Linked DNA regions of Drosophila melanogaster. The protein of the gene in region 2 interacts with the protein of the main gene of each other region in a pairwise test. Each region holds a gene or a part of one and is shown on either strand. Other genes may lie near its edges.

The links.
Region 1: the proteins of Men (region 2) and CG15177 interact in a two-hybrid assay, tested with the Drosophila melanogaster proteins (one large-scale study listed by BioGRID).

Annotation. Positions count from the first base shown.
Region 1 is NT_033777.3:6,627,381-6,630,883, forward strand, and holds CG15177 (uncharacterized protein), read right to left. Parts: upstream 1,942-3,503; 5' UTR 1,811-1,941; coding exon 1,451-1,810; intron 1,396-1,450; coding exon 1,285-1,395; intron 1,235-1,284; coding exon 1,028-1,234; 3' UTR 824-1,027; downstream 1-823. Other genes in the region: sowi (solwind), read right to left, coding at 14-373; sunz (sungrazer), read left to right, coding at 2,865-3,218, 3,274-3,381, 3,440-3,503.
Region 2 is NT_033777.3:12,719,236-12,724,379, forward strand, and holds the start of Men (malic enzyme), read right to left. Parts: upstream 3,208-5,144; 5' UTR 2,963-3,207; coding exon 2,901-2,962; intron 1,550-2,900; exon of another isoform or gene 1,432-1,549; coding exon of another isoform or gene 1,382-1,431; intron 793-1,381; coding exon 168-792; intron 1-167.

The DNA.
Region 1 (3,503 bases), 6.1 Mb from region 2:
TAGCAGGACTGACCTCGAAAGCAAATCGCATTCGCACTTGAATGTCATTGGTTGTGTAGAGATCGAAGAGGTGGATCCAGGCCCTGGGACTGACATATTTCGTATCTTTTGTGATCGCGAGCAGAGTGCGTTCGATCACCTGGACACTGGCCACGTTGAAGAGCACCAAGAAGATCTGATAGAACTGCTTCTTGGTCATCTGCTTGCACTGCGGTCCGTTGGCCTTTGAGAACTTGTAATAAACGACGAGCAAACAGGTGATGTCCGTCTGGGACAACTCCGAAGTTAGGGTTAACTCCTTGATCAAACTCCCGTAGAGCGCTGCAAACCGACTGTTCTCCATGCTATCTATGGTGGCGTCTAGGTTTTCCATAACTAAATTCTTTTTAATGTTTTTTATTTCCTTGTAAAGTTTTTTTTGTTATTTTTTTCCTTATTTTGAAACTTTTTTTTTGTGTGTGTTTTCTTTTTCTAATTTTTTTTTTTTTTTGTGATTTTTGTGTTATGTTCGGGTTGGCAGATGGATTTTGAATAACAATGTTTAAAAACTATTTCGTATAAGTTCAAAGGCTCCTGCGTCGCATTTTTTCGTTTTTGGCTATCGGAATTATATAAGTATCCAAAACGGCTCATAGCGCCGTTACCCATACAGTATTCTTTAAAGTGTGCATATCCACTTGATCAGAGCCCCGTGCAGAATGTGAACAGAGATTTTGGAGAGCTTATGATGCATACGCAGTGTCTGCTAGTTCACATAAAGAGTCGCCCACTCTATCGCCTTATATAAACCAAGTTAACACAAGAACCAATCGCAAGTCCTTTTAAGACAGCTCACGCGAAACATTTTGCTTTATTTTCAAAGTGTTGGTGGAAATTTGATATATCATGCTTATAAAAATGATTAATTTGAAATCATACAAAAATTTTGATCAACTACTTTGGCGGCATCCTTTTGGTCCTCATTCATTGTCGTTTGTCGTTCGATTATTATCACAGTGGGATAATCAAGCTTAATCAAACGACAAGCCTATTTTGCGTCCGGATTACAATAATTGAGCATGGAGTCCATGTTGATAACATGGGCCATAAGATCCCTTTCTTCGTTCGATGGAAATAGCCAGCCCAAGAACTCAACCAAAACGGGTTGTTGTGAAACAACCGAGGAGTAGTCCTCAAACGAAATGACTCCATCCTTGTCTACATCAAACTTCTTCATAATAAATTCAGTCATGTCCTGTGAGGAGTAAATTTATTAAATTATTCTAAATTGATAAGCAAGCTTACCGCTCTGAGCTCAATTAGTTCATCTTCGTCGTCGCCTTCGTGGAAGAATTTCTCGCATGCCACGCCCACCTGCTCGCGATCGATAACTCCGGTGTTCTTGGTGTCATAAACCTAATAAAGAACCCTATTAGAGCCTTCTAGAAATGCTTAACAATCCATTACCCACTTCAAAGGCAAACTTCATACGGCGCTCCAGATCCTCTGTGGTGTACAGCTCAAAGAGATCAACCCAGGCACGGGGACTCACGTACTTGGTATCCTTGGTGATGGCCAGAAGGGAGCGTTCAATCACCTGAACATTGGCCACGTTGAAGAGCACCAAGTAGATCTGGTAGAACTGATTCTTCTTCATCTGTTTGGCGCCAGGTCCGTTGAACCTGACGAACTTGTAGTAAACGCAAAGCAAACAGGTGATGTCCAAGGTGGACATCTTCGAGGTTGCAGCGATCTCCTTAATCAATCCACCGTACAGGGCCGAGAACTTGCTGTTCTCGGTGCTATCGACAGTGGAGTCTAGGTTTTCCATGGTTCAGGGAAGCTCACGGTGATTTACTCTTTACTTTGATTTACTACTGGATATATGATATTGTTTGATTATCGATTAAGGAGTTACAATGATTTAATGGATATGTCTAGTGCAGCTGGCATATGTTTCCTTCGCCTGCTTTTCTGGATTTCAAAAATACAAAATATATGGTTGCCCTCTTTAAGCGTTTTATGAGAATTAAAATGTTTCCAATTTCGCTTCCGCGCCATTTGTCTTGCTTAACAAATTTATGCCGTAAGTCTCTTCCAAACACCGTACGTAAAATATATCAATCAAAAGTCCATACCAAAATCCAGCCCAACTTGCCTGTAAATCCGCCAACACTTGGCGATGTCAACTGTGGAGACATTAAGGAGCGTGAATCCTTGCCGCCCTCTCTCCTTCATCATCCACTCTTATTTTATTGTTATTATGCCGTGTCGAGCTGCTCAGCCGCCTCCTCATTTTTTTTGGTATTTCGGTGGGCGTGGCACGTGTGAGTGTGTGCTTGCGTGAGTGTGTTTCGAAGGGGGCATACAATTATACAACAAAGGGAAGGAGATTCCGAACATTTGTTACCCCAAACAAAATGGCTACACAGCCATTTCCGACGAATTTCCACATGGAAGGCTTTACACCCATCTCAGCGCTTTTGTTTGGATTATTATATTCGCGTTTCTCATGCGCACAGCTTTCAGCTTTTTTCTCAGCCTTTGTGTGTTTCATCAGGCGGGTTTGTTTCAAATATTTATTCGAAATGGGGGACAGATGTAGTCCATGTAGCGTGGCTGATGTATTTTTTATGTCGCGGCGTTGTTTTATCGCTTTTAAATTGCGCCAGTTACATTCCCGGCGAATCCTTAGGCTGCGGCTGCGACTTACCCAATCTATTTGCAATTTGTCTTGCATAACCCTCACCCTTTTAAGCAGGCCAGAGCCTCATAAGTTAGGCATTTTCATCACACACCCGAAACACACGCCCCATTACACAGTACTCTCTTAAAAAACATTTTAAATAATAATTACTTGTTTACCATTGCCATTAAAAAACACAATGAACCGCATCGACCTTACCCTGGACGACATGGCCAACAACAAGTTCCTCACCATGTACAGTACTTTGATCAAGAGCTTCGCTGCCTCCACGGAGTTTTCCACCAACGAAGTGGTCAGCTTGCTGATCGTGTTTTACAAGTACGCCCTGAACAACAGGTCCCGCATGATGTCCACCAGCCAGCTGTACAATCTATTCCTCGTCAGCTTTGGGATCTTCGACGTGACCATCATCGACCGGATTTCGATGAATATCACGCAGGATGGCCGATCAGTCTCTCCAGAAGCCTGGATGCGGCTGTTCTGTGTGTTCTTCAACGGAAGTCTGCAGGAGCGAATGAAGTTCGCATTTGAGGTGGTTGCTCCGAAATCGTGGCTACTCCTTTATTAAATTTCCCCATGGACTACAGGTTTATACAAGCGGTGGTGCTGTGGTTCTGAATCGCGAGGTGGTCGGCGTGGCCATTGAACAATTCTTCACTGGCGATGACGACGACGAGGTCAACGAATTGCGAGCGGTGAGTGTACTGACATTATTGACAATTATGCTTGCATTTCAGCACCGTTTCCGAGCAGGACATGTGCGAGTTCATATTCGGAAAATTCGACACTGACAAGGATGGGGTGATAGCGTTTGAAG
Region 2 (5,144 bases):
TATTTACCCAAACACGGTTCACTAACACAATTCGCCGATATGGGGAGCGGAAAAAAAAACCGAATGCGAACCCACCCTTAAAAACCTTTGCCTGGTATTTTTCCACTAAGTTCACGGAACTGGGCAACTTAAAAGCGTATTCGCATATTCCTACTTGTGGAACTCACCTTTGAGTAGCGCTTGTCCAAGAGTCGGGTGAATCCGGAGAGGCTGCCGACCACCTCATTGTCACCAGTGCCCCAAAGGCCCAGGCGATCGCGCTGCGCGTATTTATCTAGTTTCGAATCGGGTTTGCTCATCTTGTCTTCCAAATTTGTTTCGCTAGTGGAGCTGTATGAACGTAGTTGCTGTTGTTGTTGCTGTTGCTGGTGGTGAAGGGCGTGCAAACTGCTCTGCAGCTGATTCCAGTGGTGTCGCGAGGATAACGATAACGGCAGACCCTTGGGCAGTTCCAAATCGGTGGCTAAGGCTATATTACCCGGATTCGAATCTCTGTCCCTATGCGTTTCCGTATCCGTATGCGGCGATGTGTCCACTTCGGCGGCACTTTGCGTTGTGATTCGTGTCGTTAGTTTTGCGAAATTGGAAAGTTCGTATTCGAGTGTGGTTGTCGTTGTGGTCGTATGATTTTTACACACACGACTACTACAACAGCTCTGACTCTCTCTCTCATGGCTATTGTTGTTGTTGCTGTTGCTGTTTCTCTTCGTGTAACAGCCGAGCTCGCGCTCTTTGCCGCGACTATATGAGGAAGGACTCTGCGAATTGTTGGCGGTGGGATAAACCGGCGTGCTGAGGGAGAGAGAGAGAGCAGACAATATGTGAATGAATGTCAATGCGGGAGTGACAATAACAACCAATTCGTCACCAACATTCGGATACTCTTTCTGAAAGAACCGATGTTAACATTTTTAATTGAATTTTAATCGTACACACTCCACGTTCCCACACTAACAATTGTTAATAATATATATATTACATTTTAATAGTATATATATCTTATTTGAATAGTATATTATATAACAGTATATAATAATATATGAATTTCACCATAAAAAGCTTTTTGTAATAGCCAAAAAGTCGTAGAGCAATAAAATGGTATTTAGGGTTAAAAGAGGCCCTTAAAGGGTGGGTACTCTTCGTTTCAGATTCCTTATCAAGGTTTTCAGAACCTTTGAAATGCGCTGATATGTTTGAACGTATGTGCATGGTCATATGATGAGGCGATGCATCGCAGACACGCCTTCCAGATGGAAACCGATAAGTGGTGCCAAAGTGACACTGATTATTGCCAATTCAGAAACACACCCTCTTGATCTGTGGTCCAATCGTATGACACCACATTATACTTGTTATTCTGAAATTCTTGCATTCGACTCACGGTCCAAAAGTTTTTCTGATACCAGAACAGCGTCGTAGGATCGAGTACATGGCGGTGCTCTTAAAAGTCTTCTATATTATATACTTATTAGTATATTGATTTGCCGACAATTATCTCACTGAGTATTTGACTTTTGTCTGCGTTGCTGCAGCTTTCGTGCTGAACTGAACCGCAGTATTCGATTTGTTTTGCTACCACCATATGTATACACTTTGCGATTTTGTTTTGTTTCCGCGCTCTTTGGCTCTTTCTCTCCGATTAGTTTCAGTTGTGTGGGGTATATCAGCTGACTGATAAGGGCGGTGCAAACACTATCTGCACATATAAACGCCATTAAACAACGATTATTACCATCAAATCATTTGTCTGGGACCTGGAAAACATTGCGATGCGGCGTGAATAGCATGCGAAAAGTTTCCGTGAGAACAGCAGCGGTCGAAATAATAGTATTCAAATTAGACTATAGAGTATTGCAGTTAGCAATTTCTTATCTACTATTATTTATAATCAGTAGCTTTGATTTTAATGTAAACTTAAGTACAACGTGCGTGCATTACTTGAATTAAATAAACCGAACCTTTTCTATTAGAGATTATTAGACTCGATGGCGTTAAATATAAACCAATAATACCTCCTGAACTTGTGGCATCTGACTAAGTATAAATTATTTAAAGAGACGCCTCAAGGTAGAAGCCCCAAACCCCAACCTTAACCTTCAGTGTCCCGAATCGCTTCAGTTCCCGCCCCACTTTGCACTTGACTCACTCATACGACCGGTGGGCCCGTTCCGCTTTTGCTCGGATGTCTGTTTGATATATTCAATTATTACACAAAAATTGAAAGTAAAACACGGCAGGCGAATAAATTGGAATATATCACACATGTTTGTGTGTGTGCCCGAGCAACCTTCATAAATATTAACAATTTACTTCAGCTTTGCCAACGAATTACATTTTCCAAGTACCTTCGTGAGCAAAACACACCTGTCGCTCTAACTTTTTTTTTTCTTTTTACTTCGAAAATCGTTAATTAAGAAGGTGGTGCTCTAATTTTTTATCGATGGCGTGTGTCAGAAGTTATTCTTTTTTATCGCAACGCCGACGAGTCGCCTGTAAATCGTTGATAAAACACTAGTAAAACGAATCATTGACCACTAATGACACCTCGAGAAACAAATTATTGGAGGGGCGGGGCTGAGGGCGGTGGCTTGGCTTGCATTTGCACAAGAAAAAACTTGTAGTTGCAGGAAAGGATCTACTTAAATATATTAAGTATCGAAACAAAAAATGTTAAGAATTTGTAATGGTTTTTTATAAATAACTTTTTTATGTAAAATATAATTTCCTAATCTTTCAGTTATTAGTTTTTAGTAACAATAAAAATAAACAAATTAATTACAAACATGTTTGCGCATTAGTAAACACAAACTCTTTGGCCAACTCTCGCATTTTCGAAATCCTCTTTTGCCAATCGCTTGAGTTCAGCTTCAGTTTGTTCACTTTTCCATTTCATTTCTTACCCATTTTCATCGAAATTTGTTATGACATTGCGATCGGCGCAAATGGAACTGGAATTACCCATTTTGGGTTCTAAATTTCAGTTAAATTAGCTCCAGTTAAATAGTTATAGTTAATTATTTGGTAAACGCAAAACTTGTGAACTTTTCTAACGCGAAAATTAACTCAGTTCGCTTGACCACGCGATGTTTCACCGGAATTATTAAAAACAGTTATTAACAAAAATTAAAAAAAGTGTATTTTGAGCTATTGCGCTTGACTTAGCAACTCCGAACCGCCTGAAACTGAATCAAAAACTGAACTCGCGCTGAAATCGCGGCTCTGCGAACACCGGAGGCAACTTGCTAGCAGCGGGCGGCCCAAAGGAGAAGGAGAAGGAGAGTGTCCGGTGCTGCCCTCCCGCTCGCACCCGCACGCAGGCAGCACGCGACATTTGCTCCACTGAGTCACTTTGGTAGGCCCAGACGGCTACAGTGGCCCCTCGCTAAAAAGGATGAAATCTAAAATGCATTTTTAATAGGTTTTTAGTTTATTTCTTATATAAAAATCAATAACTTTAAACACTATTTAACGTTGATATTAGGTAATCTGCTGTTTTATTTAACTATAATTTGTAAATTTTTATGCTTTACAAAAGGACTATACAAAAATGGGTTTGTTTGTATTCTCTTTTTAATTTTAATCTAGCAAGACTTTCATTTCGGGGTTTCACCGTATTTGATTAATCGTTGCAGCCTTAGAGAAGCTTTGGCGCTGAGTTGTACTTCACTTGGAGTCACACAAAACCTGAGCGGTTGGTTAATCGCAGTGACCTCTGGGCGGCACACACAAATGCATGAAGCAATTTGTTGCTGGCCAATTAAAAAATAATAATTTCAGCTTTCAAAGAAGGCAACTCGATTGCTGACCATCGCGTCCCAGTCGGCTGCACTTGGCAAGTGGCGAAGAAAAATTTATAAATCCAATGAATTCCGGGTCATTTCAAATGCACTGAGTTGAAACGATGGGGAAGGGGACTCGGTAGTCGGTGTGGTGGATCCTTAGGCTTTTTTCGCCTTTTGACTCTGATTTTATCACCTAATGATTTTACCGCTGTTTCATTTGTCGCCTGGGTGGCACTCGAATTTTAATTAGATTTGCTTTATTGCACTGCTGTCTGTTGAAATCATAATATATATTGCACTAATGTTCAAAGATCTTGTTCAATTGTGCAAATATGACACACATTAATTACTGGGTTTGGTTTGCTATATCGAATTTATTGTTGAAGTGTCGGCTTGTGTTTACTGTCTAAAATTTGCGAAAGTGTCGTATGAAAAGTTGCAACACGATTTCAATTGCTGCCAGGGTCAATTGTAATTTCAGTTAAGTCAGTAAAAAAAAACCATACGGCGGAATCGTGGCTGCATTAATATTGGTATTATCGACATATACGAGAAAATTGTTGGATTATTGAAGTAAAGTGTGCATATAAAACTAACAAAGAATGTCGCTATACCATTATTAACTTATCTACATATGTATTTTAAAAACCACAGATAACATCGTAGTTTGTTAAAATTTCGATTCATTCTATCTAGTTCATACAATAGTGACCACGAAAGTATCTTAAGGAGGCCAACAATAACAATGATTATACAAGCGAAACTCCAAAAAATACTAAAAACCACTCCGAATGGAAATTTCCAGTTAGAAATTTTTATAATTTATATTTTTTTAAATTCGTTTAACAGAACCATAAAACCTAGCATTGCAAAACATTACTGATAAGTGATAGTTCGCTTAAAATATAATAGATGGCGCTATCGTTAAGCTCTAGATTTGGCCGTTAATTTTAGGCGCTACTGTTAATGTAATAAAAGCTTAAAAGCTTTGTTTGCGTTGGAGTGTTCATAAATAATAACAGATGGCGCCAGCTGCAGTTCTGAAAACGACCGTTATTTATCTATGATTAACGGTTTCTTTTGTATTATACAAATACAAATAATAATAATAATTGTAACAATAACACCTTTTGTTATGAATTACATTATTTCACCATAAATTGGTGGGTCAATTTAGGAATGCATGTTTGTAACCTGCGTTAGAAAATAAAATCAATGACCAATTGATAGTTTGCCATTTTATAATACAACACTCAAACCGCGCGATTGCTATTTTAGAGGTGTGTCAGCTGATTTTCCGAGTCCAGTGCTTTTCACATGCTCAGTTCAACCATGTTTTGCACATATTGCTTTTTCAACTTT